Linked DNA regions of Elephas maximus indicus. The protein of the gene in region 1 purifies or fractionates together with the protein of each later gene. This does not show direct contact. Links are inferred from orthologs where the notes say so. Each region holds a gene or a part of one and is shown on either strand. Other genes may lie near its edges. The genes, in order: SERBP1 and TSR1.

Region 1 (7,965 bases):
CACCTGGGGCAAGGAAAAATGAAAAATACCAAAGACACAAAGTAATCATGAGCCCAAGAGACAGAAAGGGCCACATTACCAGAGACTACATCAGCCTGAGACCAGAAGAACTAGACAGTGCTCGGCCACAACCTATGACTGCCCTGAGAGGAAACACAAGAGAGAACCCCTGAGGGAGCAGGAGAGCAGTGGGATGCAGACCCCCTACTTCTTGTAAAAAGATCAGACTTAATGGTCAGACTGAGACTAGAAGGACCCCAGAGGTCATGATCCTGTCCCCAGACCTTCTGTTAGCCCAAGACAGGAACCATTCCCAAAGCCAACTCTTTCAGACAAGGATTGGACTGGACTATGGGATGGAAAATGATACTGGTGAAGAACGAGCTTCTTGGGTCAAGTAGACACATGAGACTATGTTGGCATCTCCTGTCTGGAGGGGAGATGAGGGCGGAGGGGGCCAGAAGCTGACTGAATGGACATGAGGAGAGAGTGGAGGAAGGGAGCGTGCTGTCTCACTGCGGGGAGAGCAATTAGGAGTGTAAAGCAGGGTGTATTTAAGTTTTTATATGAGAGACTGACTTGATTTGCAAACTTTCACTTAAGGCACAATAAAAATGAATTAAAAAAAATGGTGCTGGCAAAACTGGATATTGATTTGCAGAAAAATTAAACGGATCCATACCTCACACCTTACATAAAAATTAATTCAAAATGGACCAGACCTAAATGTCAAACCTAAAACTATAAAGATCCTGGAAGATAACACAGGGACAAAGCTAGGGGTCCTAATTTGTGGCATATATCAACTGTCAAACATAACTAAAAACGCACAAACAACAAAAGAGAAACTAGAAGCTGGGACCTCCTAAAAATTAAATACTTGTGCTCATCAAAAGACTTCAGCAAAGAGGTAAAAGGAGAACCTACAGACCGAGAAAAAATTTTTGGCAACAACATATCTGAAAAGGGTCTAATCTCTAAAATACATAGAAAACTTAAACACCTACCTCAACAACAAAAAGACAAATGGTCCAATCAAAAAATAGGTAAAGAACATGAACAGACACTTCACCAAATAAGATACTTGTGAAGAGATGCTCATGATCATTAGCCGTTAGGGAGATGCAAATCAAAACCACAATGAGATACCATTTCACGCCAACAAAAATGACACTGATCAAAGAAACAAAAAACAACAAATGTTGGTGAGGCTGTGGGTTGACTGGAACTCTTATGCACCCCTGATAGGAATGTAAAACGGTACAACCATTATGGAAAACGATATGGTGTTTCCTCAAAAAGCTAGAAATAGAAATACCATATGATCCAGCAATCCCATTATTAGGCATTTATCCTAGAGAAATAAGAGCAGTGACACAAATAGACACATGCACATCCACGTTCACTGCAGCAATATTCACAATAGCAAAAGGATGGCAACAACCTAAGCGTCCATCAATGGATGAATGGATAAACAAAATGCGGTACGTACACACAATGGAATCCTACTCAACAATAAAGACTAATGATGAGTCCACAAAACATCTTACAACATAGATGAATCTGGAGGACATAATGCTGAATGAAATAAGTCAATCACAAAAGTCAAATACCATATGATACCACTTTTATGATAAGTTACGGAAAGGTTTACTCACAGAAAGCAACATTCTTTAATGGTTACCAGGTATGGGAAGGGAAGGGAGGAAGAACCACTTAATAGACAGCAGACACATGTTAATTCTGGTGAAGGAAAAGACAGCAAATAATACGGGGAAGTTAGCACAATGTGACCAAGGGAAATGAAGACACTGAGAGGTACACAAGAATAAAGGATGACTACAGTAATGACCATACCATATACAGTTGAGCAACAACAGTAAGAACGACCCAAAAATCTGTGAGTGGTTACGTGGGTAGATACATATGCTATATAGAGGTGGGAGGGCGTATAGGAGTGTACGCACATGCCTGTATGGATATAGTTGTAATTGTATATACAAACTTAAATAAACTGCATATATATTCATATATATAAAAGAGCATATGGGAGCACAGTAATGGAAACCTCTTAGACATATGCAAACACCTCATGGGACTGAGTCACTGAGCTTGAAGGATAAGGAACATAAGTCTCAGGGGACATCTAGCTCAACTGGCACAGCATAATTCATAAACACAAGGTTCTACATCCGTTTGGTGAGTAGCACCTGGGGTCCTAAAGGCTTGCAAGCTATGTTCTAAGATACAACTACTGGCCTCTTCTTGTCTGGAGCAAAGGAGAGTGAAGGAAATTAAAGACTCAAGGAAGAAATTAGTCCAAAAGACTAATGGCCTATGGGAACCACAGCCTCCTGCAGCCTGAGACCAGATGAACTAGATGGTGCCCAGCTACCAATATCAACTGCTCTGACCAGGAACACAGAGAAGTTCTTGGGTAGAATGGGAGAAAAATGTAGAACGAAACTCAAATTCATAAAAAAAGACACACCTACTGGAATGATAGAGACTGCAAAAGCCCCCAAACTATCGCCCTAAGATATCTTTCCAACCTGGACTGATGCCACTTCCAGAGGTCACCCTTCACCCAAATAACAGACTGGCATATAAAAATGAACTGTAACACCCCCTGAGGAACGTGCCCCTTAGAACAATTAACTAAATGAGACCAAATGGGCAACATTTGCCCCAAAGCAAAGATGAGAAGGCAAAGAGGGGAAGGGAAACTGGAAGGATGGAAATGGAGAAGGTAGGGTGGAAATGGGGGAAGCGCTGACCCATTGCTGGTGGAGAAGGGGAAATAGCAACCAGTGTCAGGGAACAATTGGTATACGAATTGTTGAATGGGAAACAAATCTGTTGTATAAACTCTCACCTAAAGCCCAATCTTTAAAAAAAAAAAAAAGTTGATATCAACATTCTCACAGTGGAATTTAAAGACCGGGTTAACTCTTGGCATTGGCATTTACTAGAAGTGTGAACTTGGTAAATCATTCCACCTCTCTGAAATGGCTTCATCATCTGTGCAAAGGGGAAACGTTACAAGTTGTTGAGATTAAAGTTACTCATGGCACCTGGCACATAAGAGATTCATCTTTTATATTGTGTGGTAATGGCGTAAGATTTAAAAATTACACGCTGTATTTAAACATTTACAGTGTTAACAAATGTGTTTGAATATGCACTCACACTGAATTACCTTAAAAAACCATAACAAACCTACTGCCTTCAACTCAATTCCGACTCATAGTGACCCTGTAAGAGCAGAGTAGAACTGCCCTGTAGTGTTTGCAAGGCCGTATATCCTTACCGAAGCAGAAGGTCACATCTTTCTCCATAAAGCGCCTGGTGGATTCCAACCTTCGACCTTTCGTTTATTAGCGGAGAGCTTTAACCACTGACCCACCAGGGCTCCTTTATAGACTTTAATATTTTCAAGTAATAGCAACGCTTTTAGTAATGTCAATTTGCTGCCATGTTTCCCTCCCCTCACTGCACCTCCAAACAAACTAAAATACTCTAAATCTAATATTTACTGAGCACATTTTACTTAACACCACAGCCACCTACCCCTGCCTCCCAAACAATAATAGTAAAAAAAAAAAAAAAATAGACAATTAGATTAGCTCTATAAAGTGTTGTTACAAACGGTGCCTTTTCGAGACTTGCCCAGTGTCTAGTGCTGCACTGTAGGGACTTAACAGCTCTAAAGCACCCTTTGCAACGGGGCATTTCTTGCGTGGGAAAGGCGCGTAACCGTCCCATGTGATAGTTCAATTTGTCTTTTCGATTAATTTTGCTACCGGAGTTCAAGTCTCCGCGAGAGGAAGCGTACTCCGCCTCACATTAAACATTAAGAGCCTCAATTCATTACTAGGGGGATGAAGGAGGGCAACTCCAGCCACTGAGCGGCTAGGGACTAGAACATACAGGGTCCTGCTTACCGGAGGCCAGCCAGCACCTCCGTACTCCCCCTCCCCCGGAAGTTTGTGAGTCTCCAGTTGAAAGATCTAGGAGTCACCTTGACCCTCCCGAAGAGATGGAGAAAGTTAGCCTTGAGCCTGCGGCGAGGAGAGTAAAACCAAAAACAGCACTTTCGCAAGTAAAATACGCCGTCACGTTTTCCTGTTTTCAGGGTAGCTAGATATCTGGAGAGTTTAAGGGTGGCAAGAGCAGGTGGCAGGACTCCGCCCACCACCGCACTTCTCCTCCCTCAGCTCGCACGCTTCATTCCCTTCACGAGGTCCTGCCTCTCAGGCGCGCGCGAAGAGTTGTTCCGTGATGCATTCTGGGAATTGTAGTCGCAGTGCCGGGTGACTCCTCTGGAGAAACGACTCTGGCCTACATAGCCCATGGTGCCGTGCGGCGGTGGCCGCTCCCGGATATGTGCCTGGCGCCGGAAGAGAAGAAGGCCCCCCTCTCTCGGCCCGGCCATCTTGTGGGAAGAGCTGAAGCAGGCACTCTTGGCTCGGCGCGGCCCGCTGCAATCCGTGGAGGAACGCGCCGCCCAGCCACCATCATGCCTGGGCACTTACAGGAGGGCTTCGGCTGCGTGGTCACCAACCGATTCGATCAGTTATTTGACGACGAATCGGATCCCTTCGAGGTGTTGAAGGCGGCAGAGAACAAGAAAAAAGAAGCCGGCGGGGGCGGTGTTGGGGGCCCTGGGGCCAAGAGCGCAGCTCAGGCCGCAGCCCAGACCAACTCCAACGCGGCAGGGAAACAGCTGCGTAAAGAGTCCCAGAAAGACCGGAAGAACCCACTGCCTCCCAGTGCTGGCGTGGTTGACAAGAAAGAGGAGACGCAGCCACCCGTGGCGCTTAAGAAAGAAGGTAAAGCTTGGGTAGAAGGTGGGGAAGACCGGGGACGGAGGGCAGGAGCGAGGGGAGTTGCGGCTGCCACTTGCTTCTGGAGTTCCGAGGAGCCGCGACAGATTTTGCCGCCTGTTTCTTCATGATTCTCCCACGCGACAAAAGCCAGGTCCTGTAAAGTGCAGGGAGCGTGGTAGTCCCAAGTTCAAGCCACTGTCTGCAAGGATCCCCGGAGCCACCCCCTTCCCGCCTCGGGTTCTGAGCGGAGCAGAGGAGCGTGGTCCGGAGATAAGCTGCTCTTGATCGTGCTCGGCGTCCTGGGAGGCTGTTGCCTTCCCGCCGGATTCCTTGGCGGGCGAGCGCGTGGACAGAGGTGCGGGGAAGCAAGCCACTTACTGCAGCTTTAGTAGTTGAGGAGGAGCTTGGGGTCCACAGCTTCTTCCTGCGCAGTTCTTTTTCAGCGTGTTTTTTTGAGGTGGTGTCTGTTTTAGTCTTCTGTCCTGCCATCTTGTCCCACGATGGCGTGGAGTACTCCGGTGAAAAGCTGGGAGTCGGAGTTTAGACCTCAGTTGCTTCTGTATTTGAGATGATCAGATACTGTGGAGTAGGCTGCTGTTTGGTGTGCCACACGTGCTTCATCCCCCCCCCCCCGGCAAGTATTTTATAACTTGGAGTTAGTTAAGCTGTTAGGAGAGGGATTTGGCTACACTCTTTTAAGCAGAAGCGGGAATTCTGAAAACTATGTTTGTTGCAGAAAGTCTTGAGAATCGCTCTTCTGCTCTTCCAACTCCCCGCACGTAATGTTCCATGTGGTGTGGCGTTGTCTGGGCCTCGTGGTGTGAAGTGAGTGCAGAGGCTGTCACAACATTAGCCGCTGCTGGAGCTCTTTTGAGTCTGCAGCCTTTTCTCCACCTGTGGAAGCATGGTCAGGATTTTACTGGCCGGTGATAGTTGCTTTCAGGGCACTGTCAATTTCGTAGAATTGTCTTGAGTTTGATTTTTGCGTTCTCATTACTGGTTTATCTGTTTTGGTGAATGGAAAAGAGCAAAATAATTGGGGGTAAAAGAAAAACGGTATAGGACCTGAGTTGCTTTTATATGTTGAAAGTTGAGATTACCTTTTACTGCCACGTGCTCTTGGAAGGAGTTGTTTCTCGTTAGCCTTGATTGAATTCTGTAGTATTCAGTTAATGGAAAAAAGCAAACCAAAATTTCACTTGTGTTGAGAGTATTGGAATTCGGTTTAAGAAATTTTCATTTTTATGCTAAATATTTTTGAGCCTATGTGGAAAAGGAGCCCTGGTGCCAATGTGGTTAAGAGCTTAGTCTGCTAACCAAAAGGTCAGCAGTTCGAATCCACCAGCCACTCCTTGGAAGCCCTATGTGGCAGTTCTCTGTCCTTTAGGGTCGCTATGAGTCAGAATTGACTCGACAGCACACAGCAAAATGTGGAAAAACCTAGGTGGTGAGTGAAAGAGTTGTATTAGAACTATAGGTTGGGGGAAAGCACAATTTGTAATCTTAGAAAACATGTGTATATCACTTAGATCAATTAAGCCTTATGGCCACCTGTAGCACAATTGAATAAAACATTTAATTCCTGTCTCAGGGAACACACATTTGAGTAAATATTAGAACTGCCCAGATTTGTTTCCTTGATTACACTCATCCAAAGAAAGCACGTGAAAGAACTGAGTATGAAACATCTAAGATGTTACCAGGTAGGTGTGTTCACACGTTTTGAATTTTGAAAGCATACGAAGTGTGGTTTAATGCCTCAGTTGTTTTGATCATAAAAGCCCATCTTTGAAATAAAATAAGCTCTTACTGACAAACTAGTGTTTTACGTTATAAAGAGAATATTTTCATAAATTTATAACTGGGACAAAGTTCGCCATTCTGGAGTCATTTTTTCCATGGGAAAATTATTCCATATTAACTCAACATTTTCCTTAGATCAACATTGTAGAGCACCCTTGAACTTGAGTTGCATAAAACGTAAGTTTATAGATAATAAAAAAAAAAACTTGAATGAAAACCAAAATTTGTTTTGAGATTCTAGCACTTGTTCGGCAATGTTCTGAGCATTGGGGATAAACCTGTAAACAAAGTCCCTACCCTCTTGTAGTGGGATGAATAATAGGTCCAGGTACAGTGGTAGACATAACTCTGATAAGTATTTAGTGTTTGTATTATATGAATTAATTTTGTAGCTTGTCATTTGTCCATTTGAAGAACTTCAGAATTGACACAACAGAATGTTACTGAGGATGTAGACCAGTCAAGGTTTTATGGGAATAATAAAAGCCTGGAATCTGGTGAAAATCGGCCTAGAAGTACAGCAAGACAAACCTGTGATTTTATGTCAATTATTTTTCATTGGGTGAATTTATTAAGTTTTTTAGTTTCTGTAATTAAGCCTAATATTGAATATTGGGTGGGGAAGCAAGCTATTGTTCATTTGGGTGTGTTTAGTTTGGATGTCATTATAAGGACTGGTTCCATAGCCCCGCCCCACTACATTATACCTCTGAAGAAACTTACTTAAATGCCTTGGTGTAAGGTCTAACACTTGTGCCCTGTTCTGAGAGTTTACATGGAATGAACTTTAAATTTTTATTAAAGAGCTTGATATTTACTGCTCTGACTTTGGTTAAAATGAATTGAAGAACTGGGTGTGTCCTGATGGTGTTCCACTTTCTTAGAACCGAAATGAATCAACTTAAGATCTTGTTACAAAACCAATCCCTCAGCTGCTTTTTGGCTTTGTCAGAAATTGTGGCTTGAGGATAATAGCATATCTAAAATCTTACAGGTGAATTTATGAATTTAACCCGTTAATCTGTTTATCCTTTAGGACATCAGTAAAGCACACTGGTTGCCTTTGGTGGGCCTCAGACACTAATAGGGAAAAAAATAATGAGGGAAATCAGTAAATGCTTCAGCTGTCACTTAGTGCCAAAAATTACTATTTCTTAAATGTTGCTTAAAGAGGAAATTTTTTTTTTTTTAGTATGGTTTTAAAAGGTTTTTCGAGAAGATATTTCTAAGGGCAAACTAAAAAAAGTCCTCTCCATCCATAATAAAAAATAACTGAACAGTTTCCTAGTGGTTACGTAACAATATTAAAAAAGTTTGGTGGTATGTGTATACA
Region 2 (8,653 bases), on another chromosome or scaffold:
TTTGAGAAATGGGGCAAAACTGTGTTCAATACTTAATGTAAATATACAGCATTTAGGGGAGAGGGAAGGAGACAGACCTCCAAGTACATCCTCGCCCCACTCTAATATATAGGTTCCTCATTGTGAGCAGCTATGATTCTGATTGTAAACCAGATAAATTACAAACAAGTCTGCCAACACCAACCATTTGCCTCACTCAGCTCCTCCTCAGTGGGCCAGGTCTGCTCCCCCTCCATTGGATCTGGGATAACCTCTGATTGCAAAGACTGCTGTCTACCAGGGTCTGCTTTCATTAGGACCTTAAGATCTTCCTCCATATCAACTACAGCATCAGTAGCACAAATCTGAAAATCAAAGCAGCTGACGGTCAGCCAAATATTAACCAAAAAGCTAGCAAATTTAACACCATAACCAAAAACCTCTAGACTAAATGAAATGTTCAAGTAGAAAATAAAATACTCAAAGAGAAAATAAAACAATGACACAGAAAGCCAAAACTTGTCAAAATGTTTCAAATGGCTCCTACTGTTTTAAATCTATACTTAAAAGCTTGGCTTTTGAAATCTTTCATAAGCTGGCCTTACTCCCAACCAACCAAGTTGCTCCCATCAAGCTGTTTTCGTCAGAGTTCAAAGAAACTCTCTGACCCATAATTGTGCCAAGGTTCATGTTATCCCCAACTCTTTCTAGAATATTCTTTCATCTCTCTTCAACTCATAACTCCAACCTATTCAACATCTGGCTCAAATCTGATCTCTGTGATGTTTGCTAGTCTACTTTCTCAACTTCCATAGCAGGTCTGTACCTTAGCCATGTACTATTTTTGTTTCACAGGTGTGCCACTTTACGGGGAAGTGACAATGCATATATCTCCTATAAACTCAGAGCCAACTGAAGTGCAAGGCACCTAGAAAGTGCTGGATAAACAGTTGATTTATCAACATATTTGTAGTTAACTACTGCCTTACTTCCAACTGGCAATAGCCTCACTGGCCTAAGTGTCCAGCCTACCTTCTCTGAACTTGGTTCTAATTCTGGACCAGCTCATGTATCAATCTACAATAAATGGCTTTTAAGAACATCAATCTTACCTCCATTGCCATGCCCTGGTCCTTTTGAAATTTAATCACTCCAGAATTTAAAGGGAAAGGGTCCATGGGGGCATCTATCTGTTTCATCTGGAAATCACCATGTCCAATGATATGCAGCAAGCTATTTACATTGAGAGTTTGTCCACGAACATAACCTGAGACTTTCAAAGTGCCAACCAAGTTACTTTCCTCACTAGGCACAAAGTCAGCAGTATGGGCAAGCAGGTAGGCCCGCCGATCTCGAAAGGCAAGATGCCGTTGCTTTTGATTAGCCAACTGCCTGAGCAGCATCCCTGCCTCCTGTTGAGTGTCTAACAGGAGGAGTTTGTCATCAGGAAAGCGCTTCTCCACTGCTTTACTTAGCTTCTTTCTGGCATCTATTTGTTTCCTTGGTGGAAGGCCAGAAACTCCCTGGACAGCTAGTGCTGTGAGCAAAAGAAAAAGAGCTTGGTGATGATCTATTGCTTCACTATGCGAAAATCCCCGTGCAATTCACAAATTAACAGTTCAGATGTGAGCCCAGAGATCACTGGGAAACCCAGAAATCAGCTACCCTAAAGACATTTCACAGTGAAACCAAACTTCATAGTCTTCTTCTTTCTCTGGGCAAAGGACAGACTAAAAATAAAAAGGAATGTTGGCGAATAATTTGTTAATAATGGACCAAGCTTGTGCCATATACGTACAGCCTGCCATCAGCTCTACAAGGTTTTCCTGTATCAAATGCCAGGCAGCGTCCTGGCAGATTATAGGTGGTCAATTAATGCTAATTCACATCCTTCCATGGCCTCCAGTACTCCTCACTTACTATAGGTGGGAAGGCCCTGAGCAAAGAGGCAGGAAAGGCAGTAATCCCCAGTGCTGTCCCAGCCTTCTAGTGAATCGAGGAGGAACAGGATGGTATCAGCCACTTTAGCCATATCCAACACAGTGTGCAGATCCCCTGGAGATACAAGAAAAAGTCAGTAAGAAGTGGTTGGCACCACCAGATTATATTAAAAAAATATATAGATTACCCCTACTCAAACATAATGATAGTAATATCCTAACCTGGCTTTGCAGATGTAAAAAACCACCGATGTTTCAACCGGGGGCATAGCAGCATGAAACTACCGGTGCCTCCCCATTCACGGAGGTGTACTGTTCCAGTGTCACTATCCTGCAGCAGGCGAAAGGCCTCTGGCAGGGAAATCCTGCTGTGCAGGGGCACCACGAGTACATGATGGGGAGGGCCATCCTTGCTGCCCAGCTGTCTCTTCTCTGCCAGAGCCTGGTGATCGAAAGGATCAGAGAGCATCTCAGTGTCTCTCAGCATTTCGTTCTGGTACTGCATTTCCAATACTCAGATGTTCCCCCTAACCAGCAAAACTCTTGTAAGAGGTGGTATGCCAGGAGGGTGGCAGGAAATCGGATCAAAGCAAGGAATGCCCTAGCGCGGGTCTACATCTTCATGCCCGACATGTGCTCTGTCGCCGGCCCCTTCCCAAGGTCACGGTTTCTAATTCGAGGCTTTACCCGCCTAGAGCGGTTGTGAAGCCACACAATTCCCCGACTCCCGCTCCTCTCACCGCCTCTTTCTTCTGCTTCCGGAGCTGGCTGGCACGATGCCTCTGGTCTACGCGGCTAAGCTCTTTTCTCACCTTCTTGCTTAGAGTTTTCACTGCTAGGCGGCCTGGAGGGCGGATCAGAAAGGGCTCTAGTGCATCAGACGATCAAGAAAGAGGACCCGTCTCCGCCCACCCTGGAAAGGAACTTCAACGCGGGGCCCAGGTCCGAGGAAGGTCAGTTTGGGCATGCGGAAAGCAGTTAAACAGACATTCCTCCTCCTGCCCTAGCTCCTCACCCTTGCCGTCTCGTTGCGCGGATCCCCGACCCCGATGCCGCCCGCCTTTATGAGCTTTATTCTGCTGCTTGAGAGGGCCGGAGCGATGGGCCGCCATGCCGCCGCTCACATGCAGGCAGTCAGCACTCCTTCCGGGCCGGGCTGAGCATTTCCGGTCCCGAGCGGGGCGGGCAGGGGCGGGCCCTCTCCGCCGAGGGGCAGGGTTCCCCGCGGCCTTTCGCCGGGGTCTTTCCCCGCAGCCCCGGGGGGCGGAGTGCCCGCGTCTCGGCCGAGCCGTGGTGTTAAGTTTTCCCACGCGGCAGTCTGTGATTGGAGGCTTTATAAAAACGCCGTATTTTGACTTTTGTGGTTCGGGCTCTCGGTCCAGGAGAGGTGTTTTGCTCTCCTGTGTTTTCTTTTTTTTGCGTTATAAAGTTGCATCACGGCCGAAGAGGTTGCACGGGAGTCCCTCCCTTCGTGCCGCGGAGGCTTCGGGCCTCCTCGAACTTAGATTTGTGCACGCGGTCTTTAAGTTTGCAGCAGCAGGTGTTCTTTGTCACTTTGAACAACCTTCTCTCCCTCAATTCCCTCGCAAGGTTGTTGAAGTTTCCAAGCCGAGTGGCGTGGACGGCGCATCTCACCTTCACCTGCTCCGTACAAGCTCCCGCTAGTCCCTGTTGCTCCACCCCGCGCCCCTACATCCCATACCCTCAGGAAGGGCCAGACCGGACGTGGCGACCCCGAGGGAGATGGAGAGGGCTGGCTGTGACCCGCGTCCCCTCAGGGCCGGCCGAGCCTCTTCTGGCTCGAGGCGGCTGCATGCCCATAACCCTTCCCACAAGCCTTGCAACTGAGGGCGATCGACCTGGCAGGGGGACTCGGGGACACACGGAGTTCTGGCTTTTCCGTGGTCAGACCTCTCCCGCGGAGGCCCAATGCCCGGGCCCTCGCAGCGCAGCCGCTCTTTTCCTTCCCGTCGGGAGAATCAGCGGGTAGACGTCTGGAGGCCTCTAGCTAGGTGGAATCCAGCCCCCCGCGCGGGCGACTTTCTCCGCAGCCGAGAGCCGACGGGGTCCAGGACCCGCCCCGAAGCCCCACCCCGCTTTCTGCCTGGCTAGCTGCGGGCGCTCATAATGCGGGTTCGCGCCCTCGGGGCGGGAGCGGGCGCGTTGCCATGACAGCGGCCCGCGTGGCGCGCTCCCGGGCCCGCCACCCGAGGCACGCGCCGCCCCGCTGCGTCCGGATCCCTGCCGTCGCTGAGCGCCCTCCCCGGGCTGTGGGAAGGGGCCGGGCCAGCCGCCTGACGTCTGTGCGGGGCTCGGAAGATGGCTGCGGAGCCGAGCGCCGGGCAGTGGCGGCGGCGGCGGGCAGGGAGCGCGGCGGACGGGGACTCCGCCTTGCGCGTGGGGCGCTGAGCCGAGAAGCGCGGAGGCGGCGAGGGCGCGCGGAGGACTCGGAGGGTCGCTCGGCGCTGCCTCCCCGCCACCCTTCGCACCATGGGCAGCGAGGAGGACACAGTCAAAGAGAAACTGCTGTGGAACGTGAAAAAGGAGGTAAAGTCGGGGCAAGGACCCCGGGGGTCTCGCGCCCCTGCCCGCGGGGCCCAGGGGGCGAGAAGGTCCGTACCCACCCCGAACGCCGGCTCTCACAGGCCCTGCCCTGGGCCTTGCGGGGGTAGGTCCTGGACCGGCTGCGGCTCCCGCCCCCCTCCCAAATTGGGGGGCAAGGCCCCTCGGCCCCAGGAGCCAGGCCGGAGCTCCGGGGTTTGTTTGCTCCGTGATCCCGCAGCTCCCCGCCCTGTGACGGCAGCAGCGCCGGGAGGCCGAGGTCGGGGGAGGGGTGGCGGTGATTTCTGGAGAACCGGAGCTGGCCATTCATTACCCGCGCCGCCAGGGGAAGGGGCAGGGTCCCGCGGGGGCCTCCCGCCGTGATAAGCGAGTGTTTTCGGGGTTAGTGCCCCTTTTCCCTATTCCCCCCGCCAGTATCCCTCTGGGAACTGAGTCGTGGCTGCCGGAGGGCTCGCTGCACACCTCACTGCTTCTCACTCCACGCCCACCTCCTTACCCAGGGACCAGTTGTTTTGTTTTTAAGAATGGTTTTCAGGACTCGATTTTTTTTTTCCCCTGTGGAAGGAGGCCCCCACATCGGAAAGAGTCCTTCCTTCTACTAACCCCCTTTACCTTGACCCAGCTCAAAAGCTCATTTCAGGAGAGGGGAGGTTGCCCATAGGAATGACTCACCCCCATCTGAGGGCTGGAGAGCTCAAACCTGCAGAGTTGGTTAGAGTGGATTAGGCCTCTGAAGCCCTGAGCTCCTTCCACCACTTGCCTCTTTGGCTATAGTCTGCCAGATGTGTGAACTGTATGTTTTGTCCACTAAGCATCCAGCACTTGGTGCACAGTAGGCACTCAGTGACTTTATGGCAAATAAATTTGCTGATCTTGGAGACTGGAAAACATGGTGAGAAAGCACAATTTTTGGAATAGGCTGGACCTAGCACTGTGTGACCTTGAGTAAGTTACTTAACCTCTCTGAACTTCAATTTCTTCATCTCTAAAATAGGAAAATATTATCTACCTCATCTATAAAAGTTCATTTACCATGTTGGTTCTTTCAATCCTTCCTAGAGTTTCAGTGTTGGGGAAGACTCTGGGTTCCAATAAAATCCTGTAAAGCTTCAGACGGTTATCCTGCTTCAGCCACGGCCTGCCTACTCTCCCCTAGCATTTGTTTCCTTCCCTCCCCCGGCAAAGAAGTGTTTGAAACCCTCACCTCTCCAGCTGTGTGTGAGAAGCTCCATTGTGTCTTTGCTGTGGAGTGGCCAAGTAAGGGTTTCTTAGGCCAGGGGTATAAGCCCCAACTTTTAAGCCTCAACTTTGCCCTCCCCGAGGGAAAGAGAAATCTTGGTGCTTGTCCTCAGGAAGCAAGCAGCCTAGTGTCGGAGACTTATACAAACAAGAAAAAAAAGCAGCTGTTGCTGCACCTAAGCTGTTGCCAAATGTGCTAGAATCGTTGGTGTGACCCAAATTGTCTATACTGCTTCAAGAATGGTTCCTAAACAAATGGCCAGAGTATCCCGCAGCTCTGTATCTTACCCGGGAGCCCTGATAGCACAGTGGTTAAGAGCTTGGCTACTAACCGAAAGGTTGGCAGTTTGAACCCACCAGGGGCATGTGGAAGAAACGTGTGGCAATCTGCTTCTGTAAAGATTTACAGCCTTGAAAATCCTGTGGGGCAGTTCTACTCTGTCCTACAAGTGGAACATGGCTGACCTTTCACAGAGGTGCTCTGTGTAATTCTAGGGACCTACTTCTGTAGGTGCTCCTCACCTCAAAATTTACCCACCAGACTGCTTCAGATGGCTGCTGGCCATTGAGTTGAAATGCTGTGCTCTCTGTTCAATGCAGGCACTCCTTGAAGTAATCTAGGAAGCTGTTAACAGTTTAGAGTGCATGAATCAATTTGATCCCTTTACCTAACTGCTAGCCATGAGCAGTTTTCAACAGGGGGGAGGCTCCAACTTCTTCCTCTCTTCTCCCCAAGCCTTAGGAGCTCCTCCACCCTCCAAACTGTAGGGTCCTGGGCGAGGGCCTTGGGAGCTGTGGCAGCATCAAGACACTGAATGTCTTGTCAGAAGAACGGCAAAGACTAGTTTACTTTATCTGTAAGATTTATGCTGGGATAAAGAAAATCCATCCCTGTAATCTCTAGTATTAGTATCTGTCTCCTGGCATTTCTGCCCCAGGTTCCCCCAGGACATAAGAAGTGCTTGGCTGAAGTGTTGGGAGTGACTCATACACTGCTGGTGGGAGTGTAAATTGGTACAACCACTTTGGGGGGCAATTGGACAATATCTAGTAAAGCTGAATACATGCATGCTCCATGACCCAGAAACTCCCTGCCTGCAAGTATAAATCAAAAGAATTTCATATGTATGTTCACCAAAAGGCATGCCCAGAATGTTCATTAAAAAAACCCATCATAGCCACCAGTATTCATGACAGCTCCAAACTGGGAACTACTCAAGGGCCCATCAGTTGTGGTGTATTCATAGAGTAGAACACAGCAGTGGGAACCAACAAGCTACAGTTACGTGCAAGAGCATGGACAGATCTCACAGTCACATAGGTAATCAACAGAAACCAGTCACAAACCCTACACATGGTGTGATTCCATTGAAAACACAAAAACCAGTGAGGCTAATCTATGGTGTTAGCAGTCAGGATAGTGGGTACGCTGGAGCAGAGGACGTGACAGTGCGGTGGGAGGGAAGCTTTGGGGTGCAGGTCACGTGCTGCCGTTTTGTTTGCTGGTTTCCCAGGTGTGTTCAGTTTGTGAAAACTCATCAAGCTGTGTAATTATGATCTGTGTCCTTTCGGGGCAGTTCTCAGTCCTATAGGGTTGCTATGAGTTGGAATCGACTCGATGGCAGCAGGTTTTTTTGATGCATTTTCTAGGTGTTTACTCTGCATCAATAAATTGTTGTTGTTTTTTTTTTTAATGCTTAAAGGAAGAAAGGTGACAGCCCACTCACAAGGTATTTGGAAGCTTTTACGTGCAGATAGGAACCTGAAACAGTGTTTTAGAACCTTGATAAAAAGAAGTCAAGGCTTGTGAGCATGTGGAGAGTGTCCCTGAGGTCTAGACAGATCTAGCCCCTAACCTCAGAGAAGGGGGAGAACAGGCAGGGCAGGTTGTTTATCTACAGCCCGTACTGAGACAGTTTGTCTCTAAAGAACAGTGTGTTTCCCCAGAAGCCCTTCTCCAGATGAGCAAACAGCATCCCACCCCTGTTCTCCACGGTGTGGCACTTCCCCCTGAGCTGGAACAGTCGTACTGATTGTTTGCTGGGGTTATGCCATTTCTTTTCCTGGTTGCCTCCCCAAAAGGCTAAAAGCAGCCTGTGCTGAAGAAACTTTGCTTTCCCACTTCCCATCCCTGTCATTTACTCTGTGCTGTCTGAACCCAGACCAGGGGGACAGAACCCAAGTGATTTCCTTACACAGAGGCCTTTGACCAGGAAAAAAATTTGTGTATAATAAGGATGCTGCTTATTTGTCCACAGGTGAAGCAAATCATGGAGGAGGCTGTCACCAGGAAGTTTGTGCATGAAGATAGCAGCCATATCATTGCTCTGTGTGGTGAGTGAATGGCTGGGGGACTTGAGAGAGTGGAAGGTGAGACAGCATTAGAACTGAGGACATGGCCCTGGAGCCAGGTTTAGTAGGTCTCAAACCTGGCTGCAAGTCAGAATCAACTCGGGAGCTTTTGGAATCTCCTTGAGGCCCCCTCCCAGATTTACTGAATTGGGATCTCCAGGCCCAAGAAAACATGTATATATGCATATATTTTTAAATTGTTGTAAAAATTTGTATAACATTTGCGGATTCATTGTTTTTAGGTGTACAATTTAGTGATAGCAATTACGTTAATCAACCACCACCAATAATGAATATTTTTAGTGCCCTGGGACAGTAATTCCCAAATTTTAGCATGCACCAGATCACCTTAAACGCTTGTTAAAACGGACTCCTGGGCCCCCACTGCAGACTTTCTGATTCCAGTTGGTCTGGAGTCAGGCCTGAGAATTTGGATTTCCAACAAGTTCCCAGGTGATTCTGATGCTGCCAGTCTGGGAACCACACTCTGAGAACCACTGCCCTGGGTCATTCAGGTTTGGGAACCACAGCTTCCGTTTATCCTTACTTGAACTTGAGGGAAAGGTCTGTGCCTTTTGGAT

Evidence for each region.
Region 2: the proteins of SERBP1 (region 1) and TSR1 purify together in Homo sapiens (affinity purification with mass spectrometry; 3 studies listed by BioGRID and IntAct, with this or other methods). This does not show direct contact. The link is inferred for Elephas maximus indicus from reciprocal best matches to the Homo sapiens genes SERBP1 and TSR1.

The regions. Positions count from the first base shown.
Region 1 is NC_064821.1:113,362,025-113,369,989, reverse strand, and holds the start of SERBP1 (plasminogen activator inhibitor 1 RNA-binding protein), read left to right. Parts: upstream 1-4,400; 5' UTR 4,401-4,519; coding exon 4,520-4,832; intron 4,833-7,965. UniProt on the Homo sapiens protein: Ribosome-binding protein that promotes ribosome hibernation, a process during which ribosomes are stabilized in an inactive state and preserved from proteasomal degradation.
Region 2 is NC_064837.1:19,436,127-19,444,779, reverse strand, and holds the start of TSR1 (pre-rRNA-processing protein TSR1 homolog), read right to left. Parts: upstream 3,187-8,653; 5' UTR 3,032-3,186; coding exon 2,935-3,031; intron 2,764-2,934; coding exon 2,660-2,763; intron 2,362-2,659; coding exon 2,142-2,361; intron 2,035-2,141; coding exon 1,900-2,034; intron 1,517-1,899; coding exon 1,092-1,516; intron 345-1,091; coding exon 185-344; intron 1-184. Other genes in the region: SGSM2 (small G protein signaling modulator 2), read left to right, coding at 4,410-4,466, 7,979-8,054. UniProt on the Homo sapiens protein: Required during maturation of the 40S ribosomal subunit in the nucleolus.